Linked DNA regions of Lepisosteus oculatus. The protein of the gene in region 1 interacts with the protein of each later gene in a pairwise test. Links are inferred from orthologs where the notes say so. Each region holds a gene or a part of one and is shown on either strand. Other genes may lie near its edges. The genes, in order: prmt1, spega, heterogeneous nuclear ribonucleoprotein R and ewsr1a.

What was found.
Region 2: the proteins of prmt1 (region 1) and spega interact in binary tests that used the Homo sapiens proteins (3 or more experiments, as listed by UniProt). The two-hybrid records come from large-scale screens. The link is inferred for Lepisosteus oculatus from reciprocal best matches to the Homo sapiens genes PRMT1 and SPEG.
Region 3: the proteins of prmt1 (region 1) and heterogeneous nuclear ribonucleoprotein R interact in binary tests that used the Homo sapiens proteins (3 or more experiments, as listed by UniProt). The link is inferred for Lepisosteus oculatus from reciprocal best matches to the Homo sapiens genes PRMT1 and HNRNPR.
Region 4: the proteins of prmt1 (region 1) and ewsr1a interact in a two-hybrid assay, tested with the Homo sapiens proteins (2 studies listed by BioGRID and IntAct). The link is inferred for Lepisosteus oculatus from reciprocal best matches to the Homo sapiens genes PRMT1 and EWSR1.

Annotation. Positions count from the first base shown.
Region 1 is NC_090702.1:791,523-798,966, forward strand, and holds the start of prmt1 (protein arginine N-methyltransferase 1), read left to right. Parts: upstream 1-4,333; 5' UTR 4,334-4,410; coding exon 4,411-4,434; intron 4,435-7,077; coding exon 7,078-7,173; intron 7,174-7,444. UniProt on the Homo sapiens protein: Arginine methyltransferase that methylates (mono and asymmetric dimethylation) the guanidino nitrogens of arginyl residues present in proteins such as ESR1, histone H2, H3 and H4, FMR1, ILF3, HNRNPA1, HNRNPD, NFATC2IP, SUPT5H, TAF15, EWS, HABP4, SERBP1, RBM15, FOXO1, CHTOP, MAP3K5/ASK1, MICU1 and NPRL2.
Region 2 is NC_090707.1:23,239,996-23,247,992, reverse strand, and holds the start of spega (striated muscle preferentially expressed protein kinase), read right to left. Parts: upstream 3,008-7,997; 5' UTR 1,916-3,007; coding exon 1,480-1,915; intron 1-1,479.
Region 3 is NC_090706.1:7,943,855-7,951,309, reverse strand, and holds the start of heterogeneous nuclear ribonucleoprotein R, read right to left. Parts: upstream 3,073-7,455; 5' UTR 2,839-3,072; intron 1,207-2,838; 5' UTR 1,193-1,206; coding exon 1,036-1,192; intron 714-1,035; coding exon 595-713; intron 367-594; coding exon 259-366; intron 1-258. Other genes in the region: rpl13a (large ribosomal subunit protein uL13), read right to left, coding at 4,158-4,367, 4,924-4,983, 5,190-5,275, 5,764-5,865, 6,255-6,320, 6,810-6,882. UniProt on the Homo sapiens protein: Component of ribonucleosomes, which are complexes of at least 20 other different heterogeneous nuclear ribonucleoproteins (hnRNP). hnRNP play an important role in processing of precursor mRNA in the nucleus.
Region 4 is NC_090717.1:13,479,286-13,487,337, reverse strand, and holds the start of ewsr1a (RNA-binding protein EWS), read left to right. Parts: upstream 1-5,041; 5' UTR 5,042-5,075; coding exon 5,076-5,091; intron 5,092-8,052. Other genes in the region: rhbdd3 (rhomboid domain-containing protein 3), read right to left, coding at 1,069-1,329, 1,703-1,826, 2,247-2,636, 3,008-3,170. UniProt on the Homo sapiens protein: Binds to ssRNA containing the consensus sequence 5'-AGGUAA-3'. Might normally function as a transcriptional repressor. EWS-fusion-proteins (EFPS) may play a role in the tumorigenic process.

The DNA.
Region 1 (7,444 bases):
TCACTGGGCTCTACTGAGCTGTACTGGGCTTTTACCCCGATCTCACTGGGCTCTACTGAGCTGTACTGGGCTTTTACCCCGATCTCACTGGGCTCTACTGAGCTGGACTGTGTTTTTACCCCGATCTCACTGGGCTCTACTGAGCTGTACTGGGCTTTTACCCCGATCTCACTGGGCTCTACTGAGCTGTACTGGGCTTTTACCCTGATCTCACTGGGCTCTACTGAGCTGGACTGTGTTTTTACCCCGATCTCACTGGGCTCTACTGAGCTGTACTGGGCTTTTACCCTGATCTCACTGGGCTCTACTGAGCTGTACCTCTACTGAGCTGGACTGTGTTTTTACCCTGATCTCACTGGGCTCTACTGAGCTGTACTGGGCTTTTACCCTGATCTCACTGGGCTCTACTGCGCTGTACTGTGTTTTTACCCCGATCTCACTGGGCTCTACTGAGCTGTACTGTGCTTTTACCCCGATCTCACTGGGCTCTACTGAGCTGTACTGTGTTTTTACCCCGATCTCACTGGGCTCTACTGCGCTGTACTGTGTTTTTACCCCGATCTCACTGGGCTCTACTGAGCTGTACTGTGTTTTTACCCCGATCTCACTGGGCTCTACTGAGCTGTACTGTATTTTTACCCCGATCTCACTGGGCTCTACTGAGCTGTACTGGGCTTTTACCCTGATCTCACTGGGCTCTACTGAGCTGGACTGTGTTTTTACCCTGATCTCACTGGGCTCTACTGAGCTGTACTGTGTTTTTACCCCGATCTCACTGGGCTCTACTGCGCTGGACTGTGTTTTTACCCTGATCTCACTGGGCTCTACTGCGCTGGACTGTGCTTTTACCCCGATCTCACTGGGCTCTACTGCGCTGGACTGTGTTTTTACCCTGATCTCACTGGGCTCTACTGCGCTGGACTGTGCTTTTACCCCGATCTCACTGGGCTCTACTGCGCTGGACTGTGTTTTTACCCTGATCTCACTGGGCTCTACTGCGCTGGACTGTGCTTTTACCCCGATCTCACTGGGCTCTACTGAGCTGTACTGTGTTTTTACCCCGATCTCACTGGGCTTTACTGCGCTGTACTGTGTTTTTACCCCGATCTCACTGGGCTCTACTGAGCTGGACTGTGTTTTTACCCCGATCTCACTGGGCTCTACTGAGCTGTACTGGGCTTTTACCCCGATCTCACTGGGCTCTACTGCGCTGTACTGTGTTTTTACCCCGATCTCACTGGGCTCTACTGCGCTGTACTGTGTTTTTACCCCGATCTCACTGGGCTCTACTGAGCTGGACTGTGTTTTTACCCCGATCTCACTGGGCTCTACTGAGCTGTACTGTGTTTTTACCCCGATCTCACTGGGCTCTACTGCGCTGTACTGTGTTTTTACCCCGATCTCACTGGGCTCTACTGCGCTGTACTGTGTTTTTACCCCGATCTCACTGGGCTCTACTGCGCTGTACTGTGTTTTTACATCTATGCATCTCTGACATAAAAATTTGGATGACTCAAAACTTCCTTCATCTTAACTGTGACAAGACTGAAGTCATGCTTATTGGTACCCCCCATCAACTTCGTAAAGCCAGTCCTGTAACCCTGTCTGTAGATGGCTCTGTACTTGAGCTCCAATCAAAATTGAAAAACCTTGGGGTTATATTCGATTCTGGCTTAACATTCGACCCACATGTACAGCATACTGTCAAAACATCTTTTTTTCACCTTAGAAATATCGCAAGACTACGCCCTATGCTATCATTAACTGTGGCTGAAAAGCTGATCAACATATTTGTATTCTCTCGAATTGACTACTGCAATGCTCTGCTCCCTGGGGTATCTAAATCTACTCTGAACAAGCTGCAGTATGTCCAAAATTCAGCAGCCAGAATCCTGACCAGATCTAGTGCAAGTGTTCACATTACTCCTATCCTGGAGTCCTTGCACTGGCTTCCGGTCAAATTCCGCGTAGACTTTAAAATCCTCATGCTCACCTACAAGGCTTTACATGGCTTGGCACCTCAATACCTGTCTGAACTTTTATCGCCCTACTACCAAGCTCTGGAACTCCTTGCCCAAGGATATTAGAGAGTCACCTTCTCTAAACTCCTTCAAATCCAGACTCAAAACCCTCCTTTTCAGAAAAGCCTTTACTTAACTGGTTCCATTCTTCACCCCTCTGCTCTTCTTAATACCATCTTCCACGGTCTCCTCTATTGTTATTGTTGTATTGCTGTAATTATAATTGTGTCCTGTCTTGTGAAATTTTCTTATTTATTGTTGTAGTCTTCTTATTTATTGTTATTGTCATCCTGTAAAGCGCTTTGAGAAGCCACCTTTAAAGGCGCTATATAAAATAAAGTTTATTATTATTATTATTACCCCGATCTCACTGGGCTCTACTGAGCTGTACTGGGCTTTTACCCTGATCTCACTGGGCTTTACTGCGCTGTACTGTTTTTGCCCTGATCTCACTGGGCTCTACTGAGCTGTACTGTGTTTTTACCCTGATCTCACTGGGCTTTACTGAGCTGTACTGGGCTTTTACCCTGATCTCACTGGGCTTTACTGCGCTGTACTGTTTTTACCCTGATCTCACTGGGCTCTACTGAGCTGTACTGTGTTTTTACCCCGATCTCACTGGGCTCTACTGCGCTGTACTGTGTTTTTACCCCGATCTCACTGGGCTCTACTGAGCTGTACTGGGCTTTTACCCTGATCTCACTGGGCTTTACTGCGCTGTACTGTGTTTTTACCCCGATCTCACTGGGCTCTACTGAGCTGTACTGGGCTTTTACCCTGATCTCACTGGGCTTTACTGCGCTGTACTGTTTTTGCCCTGATCTCACTGGGCTCTACTGAGCTGTACTGTGTTTTTACCCTGATCTCACTAGGCTTTACTGAGCTGTACTGGGCTTTTACCCTGATCTCACTGGGCTTTACTGCGCTGTACTGTTTTTACCCTGATCTCACTGGGCTCTACTGAGCTGTACTGTGTTTTTACCCCGATCTCACTGGGCTCTACTGCGCTGTACTGTGTTTTTACCCCGATCTCACTGGGCTCTACTGCACTATACTGTGTTTTTACCCCGATCTCACTGGGCTCTACTGAGCTGTACTGGGCTTTTACTCTGATCTCACTGGGCTCTACTGCGCCTTTACCCTGATCTCACTGGGCTTTACTGCACTATACTGTGTTTTTACCCTGATCTCACTGGACTTTACATGATTTACACTATTTGTACCGTGCTTTATGATATCACTTGTAGTAATATGCGCACTTATTAATCAGATTGCAGAAGGTTTAATTCATCTCCACGACATATCCCCAGAACATTATTGTTGGTGCTGTGAATTTTCATTATTATAACGCATGAATCTTGCAGTGGGAGTGGCTGATTAAAAAAATTGCAATCAACATCATACACATGTTTGACGACCCATATAAAACATTATTTTCTCTGTCTGCTGTTAAACCGCTATATGACGTCATATTCGTCGGTCCCCACCAGTCCTTAGGACCCGCCCCTCAGCTCGGCTCCCTGAAGACGATTGGCTGTTGCCGAGCCACGGCAGAAGCAGAAACGATTGGCTGTTCCCTGGAAGCAGAAGCCCACTGATTGGTCTAGTTACCAGTCAATCAACCAGAAGCTGATCTCTTACTCGCAACAGACCCGCCTTCCGGAGGATTTAAATCCTTTAAAGAAAATCCCGCCGGTATGGATGGCTATGCATTTCTATCCACGGTGGTGACAATCTTTATTTTTAAGACCCGATGCACGTTTAAATAAAGCTAAATTCCTGTTTTAACTCTGCTGCGTGTTTCCTGCATTTGAGATTTTTTTTTGCTCTTGAAAATAACAGTTACTCTTGATAGTAAGAACAATAAGACGCGCAGCTGGGGGTCAGAAAACACAGTCTGGCGCAATTATTCGGCGTTTTCAAAACATGAGAGGTTTTAGTTTGCCGAATGAAACCAAACTGCACGGACGTTTCTGTCTCCTGCCTGATTTGTTCGGAACACGAGCCGAGCGGCGATGCAGAGCCCGAAACTGGTCTCCCCCTGCAGGCGCGGAGATTTACAGTCTCTGCAGCTGAGTGACTCACCAGGGGCGGACAGGAAGCCGGTGGGCGGTGCCCGGCGGTGACTGGCGGCCCCCCTGTCCAATCGCTGTGCCGCTTTATCCGAATGCGCCATGGATGTGGGCGGGGCCGGAGGCAGCCAGCACGGTGGGCTGGGACAAGGGGTTTGACCAATGGGAGGTCTGCGCTGGCGGAAGAGGGGCCGCCCCGTGGGCGTGGCCCAAGCGCCGTGGCCCAATCAGGGCGCCGGGCCTGGGTTTTGGAGCCGGCGGGGGGGCGGGACCAGAAGGTGCGTGTGGGGCCGCGGAGCAGCAGACGGAGACTCGAAATGGCGGAGAACGCAAGCATGGAGGTGAGCGGCCTGGCGGCGTGTGCGGGCCGGGCAGGGGGCCGAGCCGCGGCGGGCAGCAGGGGCTGCGCCGCGGGCCGGGGACCCGGGCGAAGAGGGGCTGGGCCGGGCTGGTCCGGGTCGGGGGGGATCGGGGAGCGGAGGCGGACGGGGCGCCAAGCGCGTCTCTTTGTTGGGTCGCTTTTCGTGCCGGAGCGGCCGCGTCCATTTTAGCTCGGTTCCCCCAAGGGTTCTGGCGGGGCGCAGCGGGCGGGGATCGGGGACGTCGGTCCGGTCCCGGTGCCGCTCGCAGTGGGCTCGGCTGGAGCAGGGGGGGCCGGACCCCCGAGCCCCTGAAATCTGCTCCCGAGCCCGGCGTGGGGCGCGTCGTGACGGGTCTCGCCCGGGGCTTGAGCCCGAGTCCGTGGGGAGGAGGAGTGGGGTGGTGAATTCCGACACGCGTGGGGAAGCTCGTGTGTCCCTGCCACCATAGGTCCAGGCGGGCGCCTCGTGGCGTGGGGGCGCTTTGTGTCCACTGAGCCTGTGGTGGCGCACGTGGGTCCGTGTCCTTTATTCCCCGTGGCGGTTCGGGCCCTCGTGCTGTCGGGGAAGCAGGGTGGCGTGTTCCGGGCCGGCGCGTACCCACGCCATGAGTGGGTTGCCGGCGCCAGCCGGTCACGCACAAAGACGACGAGGAGGGGGGGGGTGGGACGCGCGCACGAGGCGGCGAGCTCACGTGTCACCAGTCGCTGTTACCGGCGGGCACGAGGCCTCCCACGTTGTGGGTGCGCGCGCTTGGTGGTGGTGGGGGGGGTCACTGGTGTTCGTGGGCGTGAGATGAGATTGATCGCGTGGAGCTGTAGGGTGCCCACGTGTGCCCCCCCACTCATCCGTGCGGGGTAAGGGCTGATCGGGAAGGGGGCGCAGGTCCGCTGTGTGACCAGTGGGGGCGCTGCTGGGGTCCTGGGGGGAGTGTGTCACCTGTGTGCAGCACAACTCATGCCCACCCCTCTCTCCTCCTCCTGTCTCTCTCTCCCCCCTTTCCTTCTCCTCCTGTCTCTCTCTCTCTCCCCCCTTTCCTTCTCCTCCTGTCTCTCTCTCTCTCCCCCCTTTCCTTCTCCTCCTGTCTCTCTCTCTCTCCCCCCTTTCCTTCTCCTCCTGTCTCTCTCTCTCTCTCCCCCCTTTCCTTCTCCTCCTCCTCCTGTCTCTCTCTCTCTCTCCCCCCTTTCCTTCTCCTCCTCCTCCTGTCTCTCTCTCTCTCTCTCCCCTTTCCTTCTCCTCCTCCTCCTGTCTCTCTCTCTCTCTCTCTCTCTCTTTCCTTCTCCTCCTCCTCCTGTCTCTCTCTCTCTCTCTCTCTCTCCTTTCCTTCTCCTCCTCCTCCTGTCTCTCTCTCTCTCTCTCTCTCCCTTTCCTTCTCCTCCTCCTCCTGTCTCTCTCTCTCTCTCTCCCTTTCCTTCTCCTCCTCCTCCTGTCTCTCTCTCTCTCTCTCTCTCTCTCTCCCTTTCCTTCTCCTCCTCCTCCTGTCTCTCTCTCTCTCTCTCTCCCCTTTCCTTCTCCTCCTCCTCCTGTCTCTCTCTCTCTCTCTCTCCCCCTTTCCTTCTCCTCCTCCTCCTGTCTCTCTCTCTCTCCCCTTTCCTTCTCCTCCTCCTCCTGTCTCTCTCTCTCTCTCTCTCCCCCCTTTCCTTCTCCTCCTCCTCCTGTCTCTCTCTCTCTCTCTCCCCCCTTTCCTTCTCCTCCTCCTCCTGTCTCTCTCTCTCTCTCTCTCCCCCTTTCCTTCTCCTCCTCCTGTCTCTCTCTCTCTCTCTCTCCCCTTTCCTTCTCCTCCTCCTGTCTCTCTCTCTCTCTCTCTCCCCTTTCCTTCTCCTCCTCCTGTCTCTCTCTCTCTCTCTCCCCTTTCCTTCTCCTCCTCCTGTCTCTCTCTCTCTCTCTCTCTCCCCTTTCCTTCTCCTCCTCCTGTCTCTCTCTCTCTCTCTCTCTCTCTCCCCTTTCCTTCTCCTCCTCCTGTCTCTCTCTCTCTCTCTCTCTCTCCCCTTTCCTTCTCCTCCTCCTGTCTCTCTCTCTCTCTCTCCCCTTTCCTTCTCCTCCTCCTGTCTCTCTCTCTCTCTCTCCCCTTTCCTTCTCCTCCTCCTGTCTCTCTCTCTCTCTCTCCCCTTTCCTTCTCCTCCTCCTGTCTCTCTCTCTCTCTCTCCCCTTTCCTTCTCCTCCTCCTGTCTCTCTCTCTCTCTCTCCCCTTTCCTTCTCCTCCTCCTGTCTCTCTCTCTCTCTCTCTCTCCCCTTTCCTTCTCCTCCTCCTGTCTCTCTCTCTCTCTCTCTCTCCCCTTTCCTTCTCCTCCTCCTGTCTCTCTCTCTCTCTCTCTCCCTTTCCTTCTCCTCCTCCTGTCTCTCTCTCTCTCTCTCCCCTTTCCTTCTCCTCCTCCTGTCTCTCTCTCTCTCTCTCCCCTTTCCTTCTCCTCCTCCTGTCTCTCTCTCTCTCTCTCTCTCCCCTTTCCTTCTCCTCCTCCTGTCTCTCTCTCTCTCTCTCTCCCCTTTCCTTCTCCTCCTCCTGTCTCTCTCTCTCTCTCTCTCTCCCTTTCCTTCTCCTCCTCCTGTCTCTCTCTCTCTCTCTCTCTCTCTCTCCTTTCCTTCTCCTCCTCCTGTCTCTCTCTCTCCGTGTCCCTGTGTGTCCAGGTGTCCCAGGGGGAGAGCTCAGGAAAGCCCTCGGCGGAGGACATGACCTCGAAGGACTACTACTTCGACTCCTACGCGCACTTCGGCATCCATGAGGTAGGCCCCACGGCCCGGTCCCCTCGGACCCGCGCCAGCGGGAGACAGGCGGGGCTAGGCTCTGCTCGCGGGCGTGAGAGACGCAGCCGCCGGGGCTTCTGAGGGGAGACCTCGGGGGGCCGCGGAGAGCTGTGTCCGCGGTCCGCCAGGTGATCTCCTCGGGGACTGGCACTGCGCTCCCGTCGGGACCCCAGATCGGCCGTAAACGGCCTGGGCAGCAGAGAGACGACACAGGTGTGTCCCGTCTCATCCTGCTGGCTGCAGCACTGGT
Region 2 (7,997 bases), on another chromosome or scaffold:
CCTCTCTTAACATTTACTGGGTTTTACTTCAATGTCTTCATTCAACACAAAAACATAAATAGGTCAAAAGAAATATAAAGAAAAAACATTGGAACTAGTCATATTGATATAAATGTATAATATGGTCGGATCTTGACATTTTTCATTTCATAACAGAATTGCATCATAATCTGAAAATTGCTGTCTAGGAAGTTTCCAGAATGCAAAGATGATAAGGGGATATTTGAATGTGTGATGAGACAAATTATATGGCATACTACACTGTAGTGTTAAAAAATACAACAAAGTGCCAAAATCTTTTCCAGTCACTAAACTAATTTCTGTGGGAAAAGAAGACTCAACAAAGAACAGAAGAATTGGGAATAAGATAATTATTACACTTTTACTTAAATTTCAGAGTTGATATCAGAAAGATAACAAAAAGAAGGAAGTTAAAATTAGACTTGGGCAGAGTTAGGGAAAATACATTTTAAAATGTAAGATGTTTACTTTGCTCATTATCAACTATAAAGAATTTTTGATTTACCATTTACCACCGTACAATTTCCTTCATTTATGTATTTATGAATCAAGGGATTCTGTAATTTCTTGGGAGTTTTTGTTGATAACATGATTCAATCCATGTGCAGATACTGTATATACTTCTTACTTAGGTGTAACTCTTTCTGAATTCCCAAAGATGTATATAGCAAACCTCAGAAACCATCAATTTGTAACACTTGGTTCCATAAAAACCTCAAAGTTATCTGGGCCCTACTCTGGTATCCACGTGCTTTATCCATATGAACTCTAACTGAACTGAATTTGCATTCAACAGTTGGATTTTAGGTGGAAATACACATCTTGATTCAGGATTACAGTTGACACCATCATTCCATACTGTCCTACCCAGATTAGCACTGTGGTTAACTGTCATAAAGACACGTTTAACAAAGTGGCAGAAGATGATACAGCTACTCCATCTTACTGTGCCTCCCAATGACCCACCATTTTAAGAGACACAACCAGCGGTGGTTACCAGTTATTTAAATCAATATTGCTTTACAGTACTTTATCCATCCATTATTAATGCATAATACAGAATGAAACTAATTAGTATTTAGTAGTAGATGCTGATACTTAATTTTAAAGTACAGTACTACACAGAAATAAAATCTTTACTGTGAATTAAATCATAGCTTTGTTAAGTTTGCCTTATCTTTCAAACAGAATTAAGACTCTGTAAACTCAATGCAGAAACAAAACATAGTCTTCTGAAGGTAAAAGCTAGAGCCATAGTGCAGTGAACCATTCCAAACAAGTTTTTGTCTGCACCTTACACACTGTAGGCCTTATTTTTAATAACCTCTGAAAATGGAAAAAACAACAACATTTTTTAAAAAACTGTTAAAAAACATATTAAAAAACAGTGAGCACTCTAAGAGAAAAATAGTTAATAACCAATACTGATTAGAGATAAATGTTGTCTTTTTGAATTACCTTCCAGGTCCATGACAGCAAGGACAGCGCTGGTTCTTGCCTCTCCCAGCGGGTTGGTCGCTATACAGGTGTAGAGCCCAGCATCACTGAGCTTGCAGTCCCTGATCCACAGCCCTCCATATTCCTGGTTATCCATAGGAAGCAGCATGTCGTTGCGGTACCAGTGCAAGTTAGGTTGCGGATCACCTGCCACTGTTACTTTCAGACGGATGTCGCACCCCGTTCCCACAGCTGCATTTTTCATCTTGCGGAGGAAAACCGGTGGTGTTCGGTAAGAATACTCATCTGAGCCTCCTAGCTCTGGTACCACCTGATCCGGAACCACTTTGGCACGTTTCGATGGGATGCCAGGACTAGGGGGCGCCACTCCTATCCGCCCCCGGGCTCCCTCCTCCCCAGGCTTCTTCAGGGTCATCTGGACTTCAGCCTTTCTCATTGTTGGAATCTTCTTCTTTAAGCTCTTGTAAGTGCCCCAAAATCAATTATTTTACTTTTATTTTCTCACTATTCCTTTTACAACTTTTTTCCAAAATCTTTTAAACTCTTTATTATTTTGGCCCTTGAACTTTTGCCATTCTTTTTAGTTTACAATTATTTCTTAGCCTGGATTGTCTTGGCAAGCAAAAGCGTTCATCAGCAGGCAAATCCTCTAATTAATGGTGGCTTTGAGAATAATTTTATATTTGAATTCAAGTATTCCAAAACTTTTTGTGTGAGTAAACTACAATTTAGATGCAAAGTAGCTTTTAAAAATTCATAGTTTTAAACATTTTTTCTACAATTTATGAAGATTTACAAATAACATACAGATGTATCTCTTCAACATAACTTAAAAAAATTAACTCCTTCATAAATTCTGGTTGTTTTCTTCATATTAAATCCTAGCCTAACAGTCATGCTTCCAGAATTGCAAACTTGAACCTCTGCATTACGTTTATGTCTCCAAAATAATGCCTTATTAGATCAAGCCTTAGAACCTTAGAACATATGAGTAATAAATAAATGTATTACCTTAATGTTACTACAGCCAAAAAGCTTTGGAATACTCTTCACCTCCTAGAACAGTTCAGATAAAGTGATTAGAAAGAAAAACTAAAGGTTTAATCTTTAGCCAATTAAAAAAGATACAGCCCGTCCAGTTTCTCCTAGTGAAGCAAAGTTGATGGTATTTTTAGTGCAAGTCCCACTGGATCATATTGCATTAGCAACCTCCTTGTATTGCCTTTTGGAACTGCTGAGGTCTGCTTTACACCCTTCTGTGTGGATCTTCAAGGTCTTAAGGGACCTGGGGAGTCTTATAGCTTCTTGGTTGCAACTTCTTATGCTTCCGGTATTACCAAATTAATTTGCCTTTCATACATGTTTCTGTCTCTGTAGGCATCTAGTTCTATTGTGCCTACGGTGTCCACACTTTCTTTGAGTATAGCTCTTGCAGTCACACTCTCTCTCCCTATCTAGTTGAGTCCCTGGGGAGGTGATTGTTGAGTCCCCTAAGCCTTGAAGTGACAGCTGCTCACTGATCAGTCACATTCTTTGGACAGTAAAATTCTTCTTCCTCCTACCACCCCCTCGGACATCTAGCCAACCAAACAACCCACAGTGTGCATGTGAGACTGCAAAAGGAGGGAGAGGAGATTAAGTTCTGATTCATTTGTCAAAGATAGAAGCCAACCAGGAACCTGCAAACATAACTTCAAATGCATCAGGTGTAAGCAGAGGGCAGCCTCCAATCTCCCCTGGATCTTAGTGCAGATCAGTCCTTCCAGCTATAATCTAGTAGTATCTGTCCTAATCGCTGTGTATATCATACTGGAGATGAGGACACAAGGATTAGGGAAAATGAAGGAAGCATTGATTTAGAAAATGTAAGAACAATTTTGATTGTTTTAAATGTAATTGTATGTACAGTGACTTTTACAAGTATTCAGAACTAGGCACAGTTTTTTTATTTTGTTACTTTAAAGCTTCCAGTCATGAAGTAATCTCATTGAAGTAGCCATTATTATTATTTGTTTCATATATTTACTCCAAACAAAGTAAAAAAAAATCAGAGAGAAAAAAAGTACATAGATAATACAAAAGAAGTGAAAAAGTCATGATTGCATAAGAAAAGTATTCAGTCTTTTTTCAATATTCAGGTTTTTTTTCTCTTTAGGTTTTTTCTGACATTTATAGTATCTTATCCATAGAAGTGTTCAGTTCAAAGATTCAGGTTTTGAATAAGTGTCTAATATGTGTGCATTAAATTTTGAATACATTCCAATGTTTACATTCATGCTTGATCCTAAAATTGATATTATTGTTAAAATAACTTTTAACCATTCATCTTTATAAGAAGCAGTTAAGCTGTCTGTTTGTCATGTGCTATCTGATATACTGATATATTTAAATTATGCTAAGGAACAAGTAATAGGTTTATTCCATGCTGAAAAGAGAAGAGAGAAAACACAACGTTTCGGCTGTGAAGACTTCTTAAGGTATGAGAAAGACAGGGCAGACAGCAAAAATTAAATAGCACAGAAGAACAGAAGCTGGGGGAGGGGAGGAGGCAGGAGGGACAGAGAGGCAGAGACCCCACTCAGGAAGTGCAAAGTGGACAGGGGTGAAGAAAGGTGTGAAGTCAAAACCTGCATGAGAATAAAGAAGATTACATGAAAAATAACTCGGTCATTGATAGAAGGGGGATGGTGTGAACCTAGTTTCAGGATGAGTTTCTTTTCTGTTGTTTTTCTGCTATGGGAGTTGAGAAACTCTTCTTTGAGAACAGAGACAGAGATCAGTGTAATCATGGCCATCTGAGGTGAAATGAAAAACTATGGGCTTGGAGAAATCTTTAATCTTCACAGACCTAACATGTTCTCTGAAGGTCTCCTAGTCTCTTTCCGGTTTCCCCAGCGTAGATAGCTGGGCATTGTTTACAAGAGATACAGTAAATAATTTGCAGGTGTATGCATTGCAAGTTCTGTTGCAGGGGAAGGTGCCTGGTGGGGATGATTGCCGAGTGTGTTCAAGGGAGCTGTGAACCAGAAGTTTATGTAGATTGGGTGGTCGGCAGTATGAGATGATTGAGCAGTTAGAAAAAAAGGGTACCGATGGAGGGATTGCCCTGTAAAATGGAGTAGTTGTTAATGATGGTCCTGGGGATAGAAAGGAATGCTGTTGTAAGACCAAGAGTTCGTGGTGGAGTTGATGATGTGAGGGCTGTTTTTGGCCCGGGTGAGGGCCCTATCAATAACATGCTCTTCAAAGGCTCGATATTTTAATTATTATGAAGGTCATCAGTCTTAACTTAAACTTATAATTTGAAAGCACTTTATTGGCCATATACAATTTATTGTATTAGGAATTTGTCTTTTCACATACCCCAACTTTCTCTCCTTGAGACACACAGAGAGGGAGAGAAGCTTGGGGTCAGAGCGCAGTGTCAGCCATTTATACAGTACCCCTGGAGCAGTTGTGGTTAAGGGCCTTGCTCAGGGGCCCAATGGAGTAGAATTCCTCTGCTGGCTGCAGGATACGAACCGGCAACCTTCCAGCAACAGGCGCAGATCCTTAGCCACAGAGCCACTGCCCCACCCTTTTTTTTATCTTGGGATAAATTAGGTGATATGATCGTTAATTTCACTTGCAAAGGAGCTCATGATAGGATGTTCCACGATAATATAAGTTTTAAGAAGGATTAAAATAAAATTACCACCAACCTTCAGACATGATGAAATTCAGCTGGTTTACATGACAGATGATCTGATGGTTGTTTTTTGAGCAGAATCATTTTGACATAGTTCATAGTTGTTGTAACCCAGCCTTTGAATATCCTTAAACAGAAACAGACTCAGAAATAAAAAAAACAAAATAAATAATAATACAAATTGTAAACTTCTCTGTAGTTCTAAAAATGTAAAACAATGCTTATATGGAGCTTCAAAACAGAAAGCACATCCCTCAGATCCCTCAGATACATACAAAACTATAGCAAAAATGAAACATGGACATACCTATTCACTATCCGTCATCAATGATGAAAGATCTTCTCTTTTGTAACCTCTACTGTGATCTTATACCAAATTATGGAAAACCTCAAATACTGGTGAATAGGAGTAGAATTAGATTTGTTTTTTTATATCAGAATAGATGTATAATGGGCAAATATCAATATAACTAAATACATGTTTATAAAAGAACAGTCTCAACAAGTCATCTTGTGTTCAATTAGATGATTACTGAAGATGCAGTTGAAAATAAAGGTTCTCAATTCTCTGATTTTCCCAAAAAACACTGCTTACTTTAGTTACTGTGATTTTGCACTGCCAGTTTCAGTTTAACTTCTAGAAATGTGTTTTATAGACAGAAATCATCACCTTTGTTACATGTAAAAATTGAATTAAATTCTCTAAAGTTTCGTTCTATTTGTAGTCTGATAAAGTGAGTGTCCACACTGTGATATTTAAGGTTTTTCTGAAGTATATGAAATGTATGATATGAATTCTGATAACTGCAAAAGATGAACCAGACATCTCCACCTGCTGGCCACTTCATCCCTACTGTGCAGTTTTTTTTCTTTTTTCAAACACATAGACATTAATATTGTTTTTTTAAAGAAACCTGTTCCTTATACAGTATATGAAGCACAAAGACAACTGAAAATTTATTTTAAGATGAAGACTATATAATATGATTGTATTTACTTTGTTTTTCATGATGCAATCTGTAGTTTTAAATTTACAAGCATAACCCTGGAGATTATTGGAAACAAAAATGAATAACATTTGGGGGCATTGTGGATCAGTCTACAGCATATCAGCAAAAATGAAATTGCTGAAAATTATTTTTGTCTTTTTCATTCAGTGCAACACAGAAAAGTCAGGAGTCATTTAAACTCACTTTGCTGAAGAAGTGCCTTCTTTCCAGTGAATAAAAAGAGTGTTAAATTGGAAATCTACAACACACAAATGATAACATAATCTTGAATATTATCTGTATTTTGGGACCTTGAAATCCATCAAATCTTATTTTCTGTTATTTGCACAACATAATAACACAATTGAAAACTGATTTAAAAAATGAGGAAAATATTTTCATAGCAATACTAAAAAAGATCATATTGAAGACATTGTCTGCTTATGATTAGTGGAGTAATTTTTTGCCATCCAGCAGGCTCAAACTTTTTTCAACAAATTCCTTTTAAACACTTTTCCACTGGTAGTTCAGTTCAACTCTTAATATGCTATTCGGTGAAGACACAGATCTGCAAAGATCTGTGTTATCTGAAGCACATCACAGTAGCAATAAACCTCTTTTTCATCTAGTCTCTATTAATTTACTCAGCTGAACTGCTCTGTGCATTTTTGCCCTCTGTGTGCCTACCTCCTTTACACTATTCTTAAAGTAAAACCTGCCTGAGTTGCTTCCTCAGTGTCTGGTTGCCTTGGAAACAACCTCACAATAATGCATGAGGGCTACACATCCAGTATTCTGTCTTACTTATGACTAGTGTGTGGGTCCCGAGGTGGACTGGAAGTGAGAAGGTAATATTAAAATGAATCCAAGATTTTTGGTTGCTTTTTTATTCAAGAGAAGATTTTGTGAAATATAAATAATATAATGAGCTTAATGTTTTATCCATGGTTCAGCAGAAACATGAAAGAAAGAACCAGAAATGATGTCTTGTTACGGGTGCAAATTTAACAGACATTAATTAATATTACTCAGAAATCTATAGTAGGGTTCTTTTTACTTTGCAGTTAATAACACTGCACATTTCTGCAATCTTCTGATTTTCAGAAGCATCAGACCACTTCAAAATGTCTTCAGCAACAGTGAACATAATTAGGGTCTACATTGTAGAAAACATTTAATGTGTTGATTCAGTCACACACTATTCATAGTCTTTCCAATGCTAATAGAGTATTTAAAGGATAATTCACCTTGTTCAATGTGACAACTGTGGTGAGTATACTTCAGAGATTAAAGCATTTAAAATAAATATATCAGTCTAATTGTATTTGTTAACAGAAATCGCCAAACAACACTTACTTTTCAGGTCACACTTTATTCCTGATGTTTTAAAAAAATATTAAGATTTCAGATCAATCTGGAAAATTCTTTCTTTTCCAATGTGTTCTGGCTAGTGGGTATCAAACGAATAGACTACTGGCCTGGAGTGGGAGTTTAAAATCTTTGTTTTGACACTTAGCACATGTAATAGTTTGTAATAGTTTTGGATAATGAAAGCCTGCCTGAAAGCACCATTACTACCATCGTGCCCAATCACAGAAACACTTTCTTTTTGGCATTAGGCTATGTCTTAACCATCTAATGGAAATCCCTGTTGTCACAGTTGCTCCCCATAGAGATTTTTAGGTTAAGGAAAATGGGAAGTTTCATTTTACCAAGAATCCTGCTGCTCATTAAACCCTCTTATGTCATTAACTCAATGAAGCATAACAAAAACTACACAACATCTTAATGTTCATTTGCCATGGAAAGTCTTATGATCTGAATAAATGCTCATTTAGAAA
Region 3 (7,455 bases), on another chromosome or scaffold:
AAGTTTGTTAACACACAACTCATACAATAGTATTTAAAAACTCCATCTATAATCAACAGTTCTAAAAACACTTATGAAAGGCCTTCAGAGCAGCCGAACGTCACTCTCCAGCAATGGGCTTCATGGTCTGAACACCATAGCAAGCTTCCTAAAGACAATTCACACTAACTGGCAAATCTGAAACCAAATTCTACTGAATGTTCTAACATATTAAAATAATAAACTGAACCATTCTGTATGTTTTTACAAATACTCTACCTTAATCTTAGATTCATCTGGCCCCTTTGTAGACTCTTGTACCTTGCTTCCTTGCTTCTCTCGCTGTCTGTAGGTTTTCATTACTCCACATAAAAATGCACTTTTGTTCTGCAACAGAAGGCAGAAAAATTAATTTAAGCAAATAAAGAGCACTAAGGCAATGGAAGGTAGGGATGGGATAGGAGGGGAGGGTCCAAATGCTTGCTAATAATTAATATAACTATTTTAAAAAGCAAAATCACTCTCTCTCTCGAGAAAAGAAAAAAAACATGATCGCTTTGATGAATATAATCACAGTTAATTCAAAAATAGGGGAGCTATAGGACATGCACTCACCTGTACATGAGACAAGTCACTTTCTTTAAACTGCTGCAGAACGGAGAGAGCACCTTCTTCATTGAATTCTCGTAAGGCATCAATGGCCCTCTCGTCCAGATCTGCGTATGCCACCAAACCTGTAATTTGCGGTGTTTAAGTCATGGCACTCTCACCAACTGCTAATACCAGACATTCTTCCTGGGACCACAAACTTTCCTTCACACGGTGTCCCTTCTCAACACACTACCAGTGTCACTGAATCCTTCCGCTTGATCGATTAACTTATTACTTTCTAAGATGTCAAAGGAGCTACAACATCCTGCCCCACATAACCACCCTTGAGAAAGATGGAGGTAAGAGGGCAAAGGTGAAACTTTTTGCCATTTTGTTTTTCTTTAAACAAAACTAAGAACGAAAAACTAAGCACACAGCAGATGAGGAATGGGAACCAGCACATACCTGTTTGAAAGATATTGTCCAACCTTTCTGCTACTTTCTGTGGTAATCCAGCATCTATGAGAGTCTGGTAGTTTTCTGTGTGGGTTACATTTGAGGTGTCCATTGGCTCGTCCTCCTCCTTAACCTGGGCAGAGTTACCATTCACCTCAGCAGCCATTTCTCCTACTGTAACTGAAGAAGAAAATCAACCCCATGAGCAATTTTAAACTCTCATGCACATCAATAACATCTGAAACCGTCATCCGACATTTCCAGAGACATTCTCTAGTAGATGTACTGTAACACTACATGCAATGACCAGATCAATATTCTAAAAGGTAAAAATGAGAAACAGATGCAGAAAGGCCTCAAAACCTCAAAAGAGGTAATAAATTGGCTCAAACACACCGTGTCCAAATGCTCTCTAGACAAACATAGAAAAGCGTGCTTGCACTTCATAAAGAATTACAAATGTCAAAACTGTTAAATTCTTTATAGTACTCTGCGAACATTATGCAAGTCTATTAATGCTGTAATGTGGAGAAATATGAATGTTAACCGGAGTTATATACATTACAACACTATTTTATTCCTGAAAATCTTTCACCACCGACTCTAAATAACAGTTTTGTCAAATTAAAACATAAAATCCGACAAGAACTGTAGCATAAACTATTTATATAGAATTAAGGGTCACTGATCCAAATAATTTCTCAGGGGTACTTGTGGGGTAACATTAAGATAAACACTCAGAACGCATCTTATTCTCCTTGTATTGGTTCATGCTTAACATATTGCACACAACGTTCAAGAAAAGAATCCCTGTTTACGGACTAAAGAAATTGATCTTAATCAGCTTTGGGTGCCGGTTCTCCACACCATGCTCTCTACAAATCCAAGCGATGCTGGCGATGGCGTGACGGATCAACCGCACACGGCAAAACTGGGCAACTGGGCCGACAAAAATGTATTTAAAAAGTCAGCGACAGCGGAGCTACACGAAACACAAGCGGGGTGGCTAAATGGATCTCACTGCCGAGACAAACGTTTTAAAAAAAAATGGAGGGACTCCAGCAAATCTCGTCTTTTCTTGACGGGAAAAAAAGGCATTTCTGCCTAATCCGCTGGGAGCGGGCAAAACTGCCAATGGAAAATCGTACTGATCTAACCCAAGCCGCCGCCGAAAAAAAATCCCTAGGCTAATGTGGAATATGGAAGGCATTTTAGGTAATATATTACACGAATTTGAAAATTACAGCGTATAGCAATTTGCAATTAGCATTAGCTGGATCAAGTTCTTGTTTACCGGAGCTTTTCTCTTTTGGTGCTGCAAAAAAAAAAACGCCAACCCGAACGCAGTTCCGAGACCCAAGATACGGCAAAATACCAAAGAAAATCGGCCAAACGCAATAATTTTGCAATCAGCAAGCCTGCGTCCGGTTGATGTTTTGTAGGAATTTTCCCGATGGGGACCTGCGGGTTTAAACAATGGTTTCTGTGTAAATTAATACCAGCAGTTGGGACTGCACACACGGCCGAAGACAAAAAATCCGTTCCGCCCCCTTTGGTGCACAAATTTCAGACAGGCCTACAAGAACGCAAAGCTCCGAAACCCCTTATTGTGATTACGTATACTTCTGTTGCATACGAAATGATGCCTAGAGATCCTTCTGCGCCTACCCTGGATTTAAGTCTGGGTTTATTTTACTCTCAGAGACGCTTTAAAAAAACGAGCCCACCTCACAGGCCTAAATAAAACCCTTCCAAAGCAGAGACCATCCCCCTCCAGCCCGAGAAAAACACATCCGACCGGCTGAAACTTACCGCTCCTTTAAAGCAAGAATTCCGTCACTGCAGCTACCCGCAACTGTCTGCGGCCTTTTTTAAAAAAAAAACGTGTCTTTAAAAAAAATACTGAGACGCTGTTGTATTTTAAATCTGCCTGTGTTCGAGGAAGGGTTTATAAATCTGCCCACGGGAGAAGACTTAAGACAGACCAATGCTCGTCCACGGCACTTCCTCGCGGTCAACCCGACCCTGTCTAGGGGAGCGCGCACGCCACTTTGCCACGGGGTCTCCCAGCGCACTCTCCAGGGCCGCCGCGAAGGGGAAGAAAGCGCCAATCAGAGAAGCGAAGCGGGGAGACTGGCGTGAGCGGCGGACCAATGAGAGGGAAAGGAGCGGCAGGCTGCAGCCCTGCTAGCTGGAAAGAGAAGCAGCTGCGGGCGCTTTGCAGCAGAGTACGAGTCTACAGAAAGAATCCGATCCCGACACCTCCAGTGACAATGGAAAATTACAGGAGCAGTGCCTAGGCACAGGGTACATGCAGCACAACCGGGGCTATCACGGCATGGTGATGTAGACCCGAGTCATTTTCAGAAACACAAAATAAGACGACGCACTGCCTTGAACTTGTACAGCTGTAGGCATTTTACGCGGTAGTTCTCTCTTGCTCTCGATATTAAGTCTGTTTCGGCCGATGATGTTATTTTTGAGTTGCTTGCTTCGAAATCTGAGCAGGCTGTAATAGGGAATCGTTTAACCCGAACTACGTTAAGAAAAGACAGGGTGCAAGTGCTTATATCCTTTCTTTTCATGTCGTTGTACCAGCACAGGTTCTGTAATATTAGTAATCCTTTTGATCTCCGTATATTCCTGTATCGCTAGTACCTGGGCTGAACGGGCTACATTGTGATGCAGCTCGTAAGGCACGACTTCATGATTAAGGACATAAGGAAAATCTTCCCTGTTTCTCATCTCAGAAGTCACCCCCACAATAGCCTTCGAAAAACTAAAAAAAAGGTAATTCGATGGAACTGCAAGACAAATGCCTTGTAAGATCACATGGTATTTTTGATTCAGAAAAAAGGAATTTAGGGATATGAAATTAACACGGCCTAGGTATCTGCTCTAAAGCCAAGTAATCTGCATGGCTTGTAAACAGAACTCATTTGCAAATGGCACTTTAAATAACTGCTGTATTGAGATTCCTGCAAACACCAGAGAAAATAATTTATTAACACAGGGGCACCACACACTTCACAATCAAATCCAGACACTGCCCACAACATCCAAACAAAATAACCCATGAGAGCAGCGGATACTTTATATAAACATTTATTTTCCGAGTGAAGACGGCCAGTTTATACAAGAACTCCATATTGTTTCAGGACTTCAGTGTATTTGGCGATTTTGCTCTCGACGTTCTTCTCCGCCTGCTTCTTCAGCTTCAGCTCAGTTTTCTTCTTGTTGTAGCGGATCTTGGACTTCTCCTTCCGTTTCTCCTCAAGGGTGGCTGTGATGGCCTGGTACTTCCAGCCAACCTCATGGGCCAGGCGGCCAAGCAGGGCAAACTGGAGGGGAGGACCAAGACGGAGCAATGAGACCTCATTCGATGGGACCTCCAACCTGAGCTCCCCCCACCCCAGTCTTTCATTTTTTGGGTAACAAATACAGCGAATGTGTATATTTTTCACATTTCCAGTCAAATGATCAGAACAACAAACCCAAGTAAGTTTTCCAGTCCTAACCACTACAAGTATATAGGGACACAATCATGCATGTGTCTGCTTTCCACCCAGTGTACTTGTAAGTACATCGAGAAGCTAATTTTTTTATCAGATTATCCATCACCCTTTACATTAAATACTACAGGTCTACTAGAATCCTGTGCTGTCTGGTCTCAGATGGTAGTGCATGTCAAGTATTCTCATGGTCGTGAAACTCGAATACTTAACTGTGGAAAAACATCACTGACACACAGCACTTCAAAGCTCCTGCCTCAGAAACTATATGAACTATTTTGAAAAGGGTATCAATATTTTCAGAAGAGCTCCTGTAAAACCACACGTTTCAGACGTTTGCCATTTTATAAAGGCCAAAACCAAATGTTTGTTTTACAACAGTCACCTTGCGACTTGGCTTCAGGCGCACAATCTTCAGAGCAGCTGGCACCACCATACGCTTCCTCTGCGGGACACATTGGGGAGGGAGAGAGGAGGGGTGTCAAGTTTCACCGAATAGAACCAAAGCCTTTTAAAGGACAAGAGTCAGTGTGTCTCAGATGTGTTTCATGTTCTCATTTAAGAATATTCAAACAATGTAGGTAGAATAGAAGCATCATCGACAGCGCACATCAGAGGATCAGGTGCATGAAGTGTGCAGGAGCCACTCACTTTGTCATAAGGGGGGGGGATTCCATCGAAGACCTTCAGTCTCTCCAATGCAGCCTGGCCTCTTTTTGTTTTGTGTGGAAGCATACCTGTTTACAAAGAAAGGCATAATTACTTCTAAAAAGTCACCATAATTCTTTTTTTTTTTTAATTGAGCACCCCCTTGCTCAGCATTTGGTGAAGCCATGTTTGGCCCTATGCAGTAAAATTATTAAAGGGCATCTATATAGAAGATGCAACTTATCTTAAGTATCAGGGCTACGTTCCTGGAAAAAGACTTCACAAAAGCCTTCCAGAAAATGGAAAAGCATCGCTTTGATTGCAAGAAAAGTGCTGGTTTAACTATTATGGATATACACTATTAAGTAACGTTTATATAGGTTTAAAGAATATCTGAACTCAGCAGTCAGATCCATATTTTTGTCATCAGACCAGGTCAGGTTCGGGATAAGACTCATCACAGTTCAGGAATCAGCAGTCGAGAGCAAGTCGCAATGCCACCCATTTAGGTCAACGCATGCTGTGGCTTCTGTAAGCTGCCGTAACATCGAAGGCTCCAGCCCTCAGAGCGCCTCACCTCGCACTGTCCTCCAGAAGATCCTGCTGGGGGCTCTGAAATGGTAGGGCCCACGGGATGGGTTGGTGTTCATCCTTTTGCGCAAGAAGGCAAGGTACTTCACTGTTCCAAGACAAAAGCTCAACATGAGCATGACCAAACTGTGACAGCACCATGCACTTACTGTGCTACCCAAGACAAAGACCAGCCTCTACCTCCTGCTTAGCCACACATGCATTATTACATTGACTTCAGTTACCCACGGACCTAAGTTCTCAGTTTAGTACAAAAAAAATGCAAAGCCTGCTAGGAATAATGAATAGGTAAATTCTTTACACCATGACCAGAAAATGCATGATTTGCTCAGCAATTCTGTTCTAAGATCTTAGGTCACCCACAAGAAAGGCCATTTCCAGTTCGCTTTGGTCGCCACTATCCTTTTAAACTGAGGGATCCCCCGCAGATATGCCGCAAACATGGACTTAAACTGAAGTGCAGAAGAGGTCACTTACATTTGTTCCGGTAGAAGTTCCCAGAGATATTGATGCCCTCACACCTCACGACAACCACTTTGTGGCCTGTAAAAGTAACAGGCGGTTAGGCACATCGAAGGACTGCTGGACGCTGCCATTAAAAACCATCTGCCGTCTCAGATGGTAGTGCATGTCAAGTTTTCTCATGGTAGTTAAACTCGAACAATGTAGGATAAGCATCATCATAGACAGTCAGGTATTTGTCAGTCCATTTTTTAGACAACTGAACTTCTTAAAATGACCTCTAAAACGTTTATTTTAATAAACTACTTCAACTGGTAGTACAATCTGTAACTGCTTTTAGCAATTACATATTGCAGCAGAGGTAGAAGTGAAAGATGGTGAAAAAGGTGGCTTATTTACAACCAGGTACAAGCTCATTATGACACCAACCCTGCAATCAGAGGGGAAAAAGGCAGTGGGCACACGTCCCAGATGGGACACTGCACAGGTCCTCTTTCTTGAACAAGGGATATCACTTGGGCTGCTTCAGACAAAACTGCCCAAATAAACGACAGAAAGAAAGATTCTTACCAAGCAGAACCTGTTTGGCCACAATGGCAGCCAGGCGACCAAGCAGATGGCCTCTGCCATCGAGTAGCAGAACCTGGAGGAAAAGAAAATTACGAGTTAGAGCCGACGAGCTACTGCTGACCACCAGGGCATTGGGAATGAGCGCACTGCACCTCAGCAACTGCTACGTCGAAAAGTATTTCGCCACTAATTTGGGGGCAAACATTTTAAACTAAACTGAACGCAACGTCCTAATTCATATTAATAAAGATGGTCAACATCATATATAAACTGAAAAGGCCATCATTAACTGCACTCGCCAAGTAACACGCGTTGGTAAGAGTTGTGCTGAGCACACTTCTACGGGATCCAGATTTGGTTGCAAATTTCAGAAACTTATCACGCGGGACAACGTTTGCCATGAAAATCAATTATTCACTTACGAAAATGCTTCACCGACACCCAAGACCACTACAAAACGTTATTTTGTTTCTCAACACAAATCACAAAGGATGAGGTAATCACAAAACAAAAACCGTGAAAGGAAGAAACGCTTAATAGCACTTTCAAAGTAATACGTGAGGGAAACAACGTGTGGCGCTTTAATAAAAATTAATCGTTAAGTACATTCGCGCTTTACGACGGATGAAAATATGCAGCCCGGTTT
Region 4 (8,052 bases), on another chromosome or scaffold:
CACCTGTACCAATTTCCCCAGAAGCCAATTACCCCACCAGCATGTCTTGGGACTGTGGGAGGAAACCTGAGCTCCCGAAGAAAACCCATGGGAACACAGTGGGAACATACAGACTCCACGCAGACAGCACCCCAGAAACTGACCCCAGGGCCCCAGCACTGCGAGGCAGCAATGCTAAAGACTGCACCACCATGCCTCCCTCACAAACATGTCTTTTAAGAAAGTATTTAGGTATAACACACGGCTTGTTTCCGAGACAACAGACAAGAAAACCATGCATTTAGCAAAATGTCATTTTTACGGTCGGACTCAAAGGAAAAACACAAACATGTCCACATACCAACACCAAGAGAATATCTCCATTAGGCCCTATATCAAAGAGAACGCATCTAAATCCCCAATGGAAGCACAAAGCCTCCAAATATGACTCAGATATAACATTTTTTCACAGAATGCTAATTCCAAAACATGAGTCACAAAACCTTAAGGCTCACAGTATCTTCTGGTTTCTATTCCTTTTCCTTCGAGTTTTTAAATGCTACACTGACCTACTTAGAACTTTCTCACTCTTGACCATTAACTTAGCTGCCACCTAAAGCACTGCACTTCACAACCATAGCAGTGGTACTCCACTGTTCTTGAAAACCCAAGACATATGTTAATTCCACCTGCATGAATATGACATGACCTGTGACAGACAGGACTGCAGTCTCTAAATATTCCTGTGTTTGACCTGTTTCATGCACACTGACAACCCTGGACGTAGGGTATTTTTTTGTGCAAACTAGCATGTTCAAGTTCAGACTTCTTTCCACACAACCTCATCTGTTTTGGTTTCAGTTCTTTTACATACGTGACCTTATTTAATTTGATTGGTGAATTACCGAGTCAACCTCTTTCAATAAAAACGACCACTACACACTTCAAACCAGTACTCTGGGGTTGAGGATTACCTATGCAGATTAGACCAGAATGTAAAAAACTGGGGTAGTTTCCTTTAGCATTAGCCCTGCGTGTCAGAAGGGCACTGACCTCTGCGTTCCCAGAACACAGGTTTCGGTGACTCACCGCAGAGATGACACTGAAGATTTGGGCAGCTCCAGTTTCTCGACGGATCCCTCAGGAGCGTCCTGCAGAGAGGCCAGGATCCCTGCTCTCAGCAGCTGCTCTTCCAAGAGCTGGACCTCGGAGACAGCCGGCACCTCTCCTGCTGCCCAGTCAGGTTCCTGGGATTTCCAGGGCTCAGGCCGCATGTCATACTCCTCCCACTGGGACCTCTGCAAGGGCTCCAGCTGCCTGGCAGAGGACGGCTCTGCCCACGGATCAGGTCTGTAACACATGCGTCACGACACAATTGGAATAAGGGCTGGATTCCATGACACAACCCAACCCTTACTGTCTCCCCAGGTCAAAGAAACCCAGGGAGAAGGAAGAATGAAGTAACGTCAGTATTCAACCTGATTATCTGAGCTCTCTACGGTCTAATGTATTAAACGTAGAGTGGAGCACCGGCTGTGAATCTAAGTTATTAGTATTTTATGAGAAGATCCATCTTCTTTGGGTGCACAGATGTCTCAGATTCACCTTGTCATGCTCAGCAGCGTCCAACCTCAAAATGACCGACCAGCTCCCAAGAGGAGATGCAGACACATGCAGGGTTCCTTACAGAGTGTTTCGCACCCTGGGCTTCAGTCGTTCCTACCTTTGACCCGTGCAGCTCACGGGAAGACTGTCTCTATAAGAGGAAAGCACAAAGGCCCTGCGTGGGAGAAGACGACAGAGATGGTCTTCTCCTTTCTGCAGCCACTTGAGAAAGGCCGAGCTATCTGAGAGTCCACAGTGAAGGAAATCAAGTATCACAGACTTTCATTTGTTAATGATTTTTCCTCACAGGTTACAGGGTTTTGGGCCAGCCAGTCAGATTCAGTTCTGTGGTACAAAGTGTCAGCCAGTAGGGAGCAACCGACTGGTATAACAGTCTGCCGTCCCGCTGCTTGCTGGGATCGGCTCCGGCTCCCCTGTGGCCCTGGACTGGATAAAGAGCTTGGAAAATGGACAGATGGGTGACATCCGGGATCTGTAACATCCGCAGTGAAAAAGAGTCTTAAGCAAAGATCACGGCTCTTTAAAATCTGGAGAACAGCAATAATGGTGCAAAATAAGCACTGTGGAAATAAAGTCTTAAAGAAGGGCCGTGTACAAGCCTGCTCCACGAGGGGCAGAGCAGCAGATTCCCACAAGGATACAACTGAATCCCACGCAGACCGCGCACAGGTGGAGCAGGGCGAGGGAGGCCGGCACCAGCAAGCAGCTGCCGGCCAGGAGAGCCCAGGGCAGGGCCCAGGCCGGGAGCCAGCGACGGGCTCGTCCCTGCTGGCCCAGGCGGCACTGGGCAGCCAGCATGGCGAAGTGGACCGGCGAGTAGCCGCCCACCCGCCCCGCCCCGCCGGCCCCCAGCCGCGCCAGGACACAGTACAGCAGGGCCGGCAGGCAGCAGGAGAGCAGGGACAGGGCCAGGAAGCACGCGCTGCCCCAGCGCCGCTCCTGCGCCGGCCCCAGCGCCAGCAGGGCGGCGCTGCTGAGGAGCAGGGCCGCAGGGTCCTGGTGGCAGAAGGCGTAGGTCCACAGGCGGTGAACTCCAAGACAAAGCAACGGACAAAGGGAGTTAACGCCAGGTCCCGCTGGCAGGGTAGACTGTGGGATAACTCTTCCAAGATCATTAAGAAAACGTATATTGTTTCCTACACTTGCTGTGTGTTATCAAAACCCATCTATTGCTACATGCAGTTACATCTAAAAACCTAAAACAACCCTTCCGTTATTTGTTTAGATTTATATAGAAATGTATGCTGTAATGATAGATCTAGTATTTTATATATTAATTCTATATTTAATTTCCTCAGCAGCTGCTAGGCAGGAGACACCCTCGTGTTCCTGTGAAAGAGAACGGTGCAGGTGCGCCTGTACCTACCGCCTGCTGCACGAATGCACCCCTGGGCGGACTCACCTTGCAATCCAGGTAACACTTTTTCCGAGTCGAGGTACAGAGTGTCGTACGCTCCGCTGAGCCAAGTAACCAGTACGGCACCGAGCAACCCGGCGGTGCCGGCTGGAAACCCGGACCGGTTCGACCCAAGCCGAGACCAGAACGAGGGGAACCGGCTAAGCATCGCAAGTCATCTGTCCGCCCATTCTGTCAAGCGCCAGGTGCCTCTTCCCCCGCCTTACTTTCAGTATGAAATCAACACCTGAAGGCTTTCACCGGCTAAGAGTCCCCTCACCACCAATTTCGTCGAAACTGAAACAGTCGAGTTCAATAAATGGTTCGTGCAATACCGTGTCTGCGATATTCAGGACTCTCTCTGAAGGTTTAGTGAACCACCGCATTGTCAACCCATAATTTACAAATAAAACCCTATTTCATTTCAGCCACGACGAAGCATATTAGGAAAAAGTACTAAACTTCCCCGAACCGCACATCCTAGAGTTAGGGACCATCACAAAACTGAACACTAGACCTGACGAGCTTGTTATCCGATGAACACAAGTAAAAGTCAAGAGTAGTTCAGGAGGGTAGCTGCGCCAGCACGCGTAGGTTGCAATTGAACAAGTAATAGGTTTATTCCATGCTGAATAGAGAAGAAAGAAAACACACAACGTTTCGGCCGTGGAGCCTTCTTCAGGTGTGAGAACGACAGGGCAGTAGGCAGAGGTAATGTAGCAGGAGAACAAGAGCTGGGAGAGAGGAGGGGACAGACAGCTCAGTTGCAGGGGAAAGTGCCTGGTGTGGATGGGTGCTGAGGGCAGTCAAGGGAGCTGTGAACAAGAAGGTTGCGCAGATTAGGTGGTCAGCGATACGAGATGATGGGTGGTCAGAAAAGAGGGCCCCAATGGAGGGATCATCCTGTAGGCTGGAAAAGTTGTTGCTAATGGTCTTGGGGATAGACAGTGTCGGGGCGGTAGGGAAGCACAAAGGTATGCGGTTGTTACGGCGGGGGTTCCTGATTGAGCTGATGGTCTGAGGGGTGTTTTTGGCTCGGGCGAGGGCCCCGTCAATCACACTGCTGGGATATCCTCTGCTGATGAAAAAGGAGCACATTTTGAGGGCTTGGTTCTGGAAGTCGGTGTCGTCGCTGCATAATCATCGTAGCCGAAGGAACTGTGAAAAGGGAAGAGAGTTTTTAGTGTGTTTGGGGTGAAATGAGCTGTACAGGAGATAGCCGTGTGAATCTGTGGGTTTGTAATAAACCGAAGTGGAGAGTCGGGGGTAGTTGACGGAGAAGTTGATGTCTAGAAACGAAAGAGTAGAGGAAGATATGTTAACTGTATATTTGAGGGACGGGTGGAAGTTGGTGAAATGATGCAGGAAGAACTCAAGCTGATCGTTGGAGCATGTGGCAGCACCGACGCAGTCATCAATGTATCGCTTGCAGAGGTCAGGGACATAGCCAGTGTAGGAAGCGAAGAGACAATCTTCTACCCAGCCGACAAAAATATTGGCATAGCGGGGTCCCATTCTGGTGCCCATGGGAACTCCACTCACCTGTTGGTAAAAAAGGTTATTGAATGAGAATTCTGTGTGAGAACCAATTCTGCAAGGCGTACCAGTCAAAAATATATGACTAACCTTGTCCTCCATCTACAAGATGTGCACAAAGAGCACCGTGAGTCTCAGATTAAAATAATTACTCGCAGGGCAGGATTGCTCTGTGTTGAATTGTCACCTGTTTGTGTTTCATCGTATTGAATTTTTCTTCTCATTGAAAAATTTTGAGACGGTCCCTAGCATGCTTTTTACGTCATGTGGGGGGGGGGGGGTGACCAACTAGAATGTACCATTTTCGAAGTGAGTTCGAGTTCCCTAAAACCCAGCGTATGGAAAAAAAATCACTGACCATAAATAAATAATTTACCCACAAGAACTAAATCGCGTTATTACGTGAATGGATCCTAAACTTTCCAAATGGATCGGATTTTTTTGCTTCTTCTCCTCCTCCTACGACGGTGAGAGTTGGTAGAGGCTTAAGCCCCTCTTCGCGCATGCGCGCCAGGAACACTCACAGAGGACACACGAAATGGCGTCAGCAGCTGGTGAGGGCGGCGGGGAAGCCGTTTCGATTTATTACTCGGTTTTATATATATATTTTGGTGAAAATGGCAAACAGATCTGACCGCTGTTACTAGATGGCACGCACTGCAGCATGCTCCCCGTCCCCTTGTGGCGGTGTTTAGGCTGTGAAAGCGAGATAATTGCAGTATTGGGGGATGGGGTGGACGTACATCCCCATTTAGTTGGAATACTTTTGAATTTCAGGGTTCTGCGCCGGTTGCATCGGCCTCTGCAGAAACGCCTTTTCCTCGGTGCCATAAGACGGGATCGTTTTTTTTTCCCCCTCATATTTTGTCCGTGAAGGGGCTGGATTTGCAGCGTACGGAAGGACAACTGTTGCCTTGTGGCCGGTGTTCAAAACTAATCAATTAAACCAAGCGCATCTCTTCCGTCGGGCGGCGTAACCCCCCCCCCCCCAAAAAAAAGAGTGCGTTTTATTTGTTAAAATGTATTTTTGCCTCCGTATTTTCGTGCGCGGTGTGCACGGTCGCTTGATCGCGTCCGGAGACAGCGGTGCTCGCCGGTGCGAGGTGAAGCGGACGGGGTGGCCGCGGTCGCGGCCTTCTGAGAGTGGAGACACCCTGGCCGCGACGGAGGAGGGGACCTCCCGCTACCCTGACGGAGAGCGGGCAAGCCGAAATGAGGCGTGCATATCTGGCGGTTGTACAGCGGCAGGGCGGGCGGTCCAGCGTTACAAGCGCTTGAATGGCGTGTTTGGGGGGATCTAGCTGAGCTGTTCGTGGGGGCGCCTCGTTCTTCACACCTTCGCGAGTCCGAGGGCCAGATGTGGTTGTTGTTGTTGTTTACTCCCTTACCCCCACCCCCAAAAACAAAACTCGCCATAATCGGAGTGCACGCAGCCCCCTGGGCGTGTGTGGGGTGTTCCGGCCTGCCGGATCGCGGGTGTTTTCCCGAGCGGCTCCTGCGCCATGCGGGGCTGTCAGACGCCGCCGGCTTGTTGTAAAAACGCTGCTATGGCGACCTCCTCCTCTTCCTCCTCCTCCTCCTCCGCGCTGCAGCGCCAGCTGCATGCCCAGGCCCTGCCGGGGTCACACGGCTGCCCACACTCCTGTTGGGGCGCAGCTGTAGGTGTTGTTGTGGGGATGGCCTTCGCTCAAACCCCCCAGGTGCTTGGTAAACGCTTATTATTATTATTATTATTATTAATATCGCGATGGACCCCCTTTTTTTTGCAGTGGAGAAGTGCGTCAGATATCAAACTTCTTTTTTAAAAAAAGAAAAAATTGCATTTTGAGCAAGGTATCCGAGCTGTATCGACGCGACTCCGCGACTTGGGTTTGTTTGTTTTTTAGCGTGACGGTGTTCCCTCAGCCCGCTGTGCGTGGTGAGGTGATGGGGAATGCGAAGGACAAAACTGCACGCAGTTATTTTGTCTGAGAAAGGCTTGGTTTTGAACCTGTGATATTCGGGCTTCTACTGCTGTTAAGGCCTTAATGTATCTTATTTTTAATTTTCCTAAATTGTAGCTAGTGATATCCTGCTGCATTTGTGTTCAGCTGCTGCATACCTGAGTTGTCCTTGTACCTGTGTGCACTTTCACGCCATCTTCGATCTGTACTATACCCTCTATACCTTAAAGTATAATTCCTCCTTTCACAGGCTTGGGATGCTTAGTGCTGTGTTGCCTTCAAGTGTCTGTGGGCTGTGTGTGAACTTTGTCCCCTGTTGTCCAACTGGAAGACTAGCCCTGTGTTATTTTACTGGACGTTGCACTCTGGGATCCCTATCTCTCCACAGAGCTGAAGTGATCATTGAGGCTGTTGTTTCAGTGTTTACAAAGGATGTGCTGTTTCATGGTTTTGATAGTTGTTTGTTCTTGCCCAACAATGTCTGTAGCTTCTAGCTAATCCTGTGGCCATTGTTTGTAAGCTCACAATGCTCCTAGCTTTCCTATTCAAACATGCCATAACTGCTACATGAGTGAATACAGTCGTTTGTATATGTGAAATACCCTTGGAATTTGACTATAACTAAACATGATGAGATTATTTTAAAAAGTCTGCAGAACTTAATGCTAGTGATGTTTAAGCCTTGCTTTTCCCTTCAGTTTTTTTGTCTTTACAGTGCTTGACACTGTTAGGCATTTGCATCTTGGTTAGAGTTGTATTAATTTGGTCTTCAAATTCCAATACAGACAGCAGACTCTTTTGTAATTCTCCTGTCTTTCTAGGTTTTCTTGCAGAATATACAAGTGTTTTAAATTACATATGTCTAATCCCAAATATGTGTTTTTGTAAAGGCTTTATATTGGATTCTAAATGTGCTTTATTTAGAATTCATGATATTATCTAAAACTATTCCACAAACATGCAGTGACTGGTAGTTTAACGTGTATATGGCTGTTGCCACAACTGTAATGTACTGTGTACATTGCTTTCTATGCTCTGAAACCTGAGCAGGTAATTTTCTCAAATGCCCTGTTTGAAAAACAGTTGTAGTCCAGTTTATGTAAACTCATTATGGCCCACAACTGTGTAATGCTATTGACAGGCTTTACCTGAGGGTCTTCCATTCCTAGTTCTGCAGAGGTCCAGCACAAGAGGTTTTGTAGTTTTCTCCTAAATTATGTTTGTAAAACTGTAGAATATTGTAATTGTGATAAGATTTTTAGCAGACTTTTATAGCACAATTATAAATAAGTTAGGCATCAAGAGCCAAAGATCCTTGAATTAAGATTTGCCCAGTAATTGTTCCCAGTTTTTAGACGTAGGCCCAGGTGATTCAGGATGACCTGTGTTTAATTGACCTGATAAATCATGTAGTGTATTTTGAAGCTACAACATTTCATCTATCAGAACAGTCTACATATCTTCATTGTAGCCAAGAGTTGAAGACTCCGCAAATATAGAGCCAAATGATAATATGCTGTCTTTAAGACTATACAGGAAAGTGCATTTTAAGGTTCCAGGATTAAAGTGTTC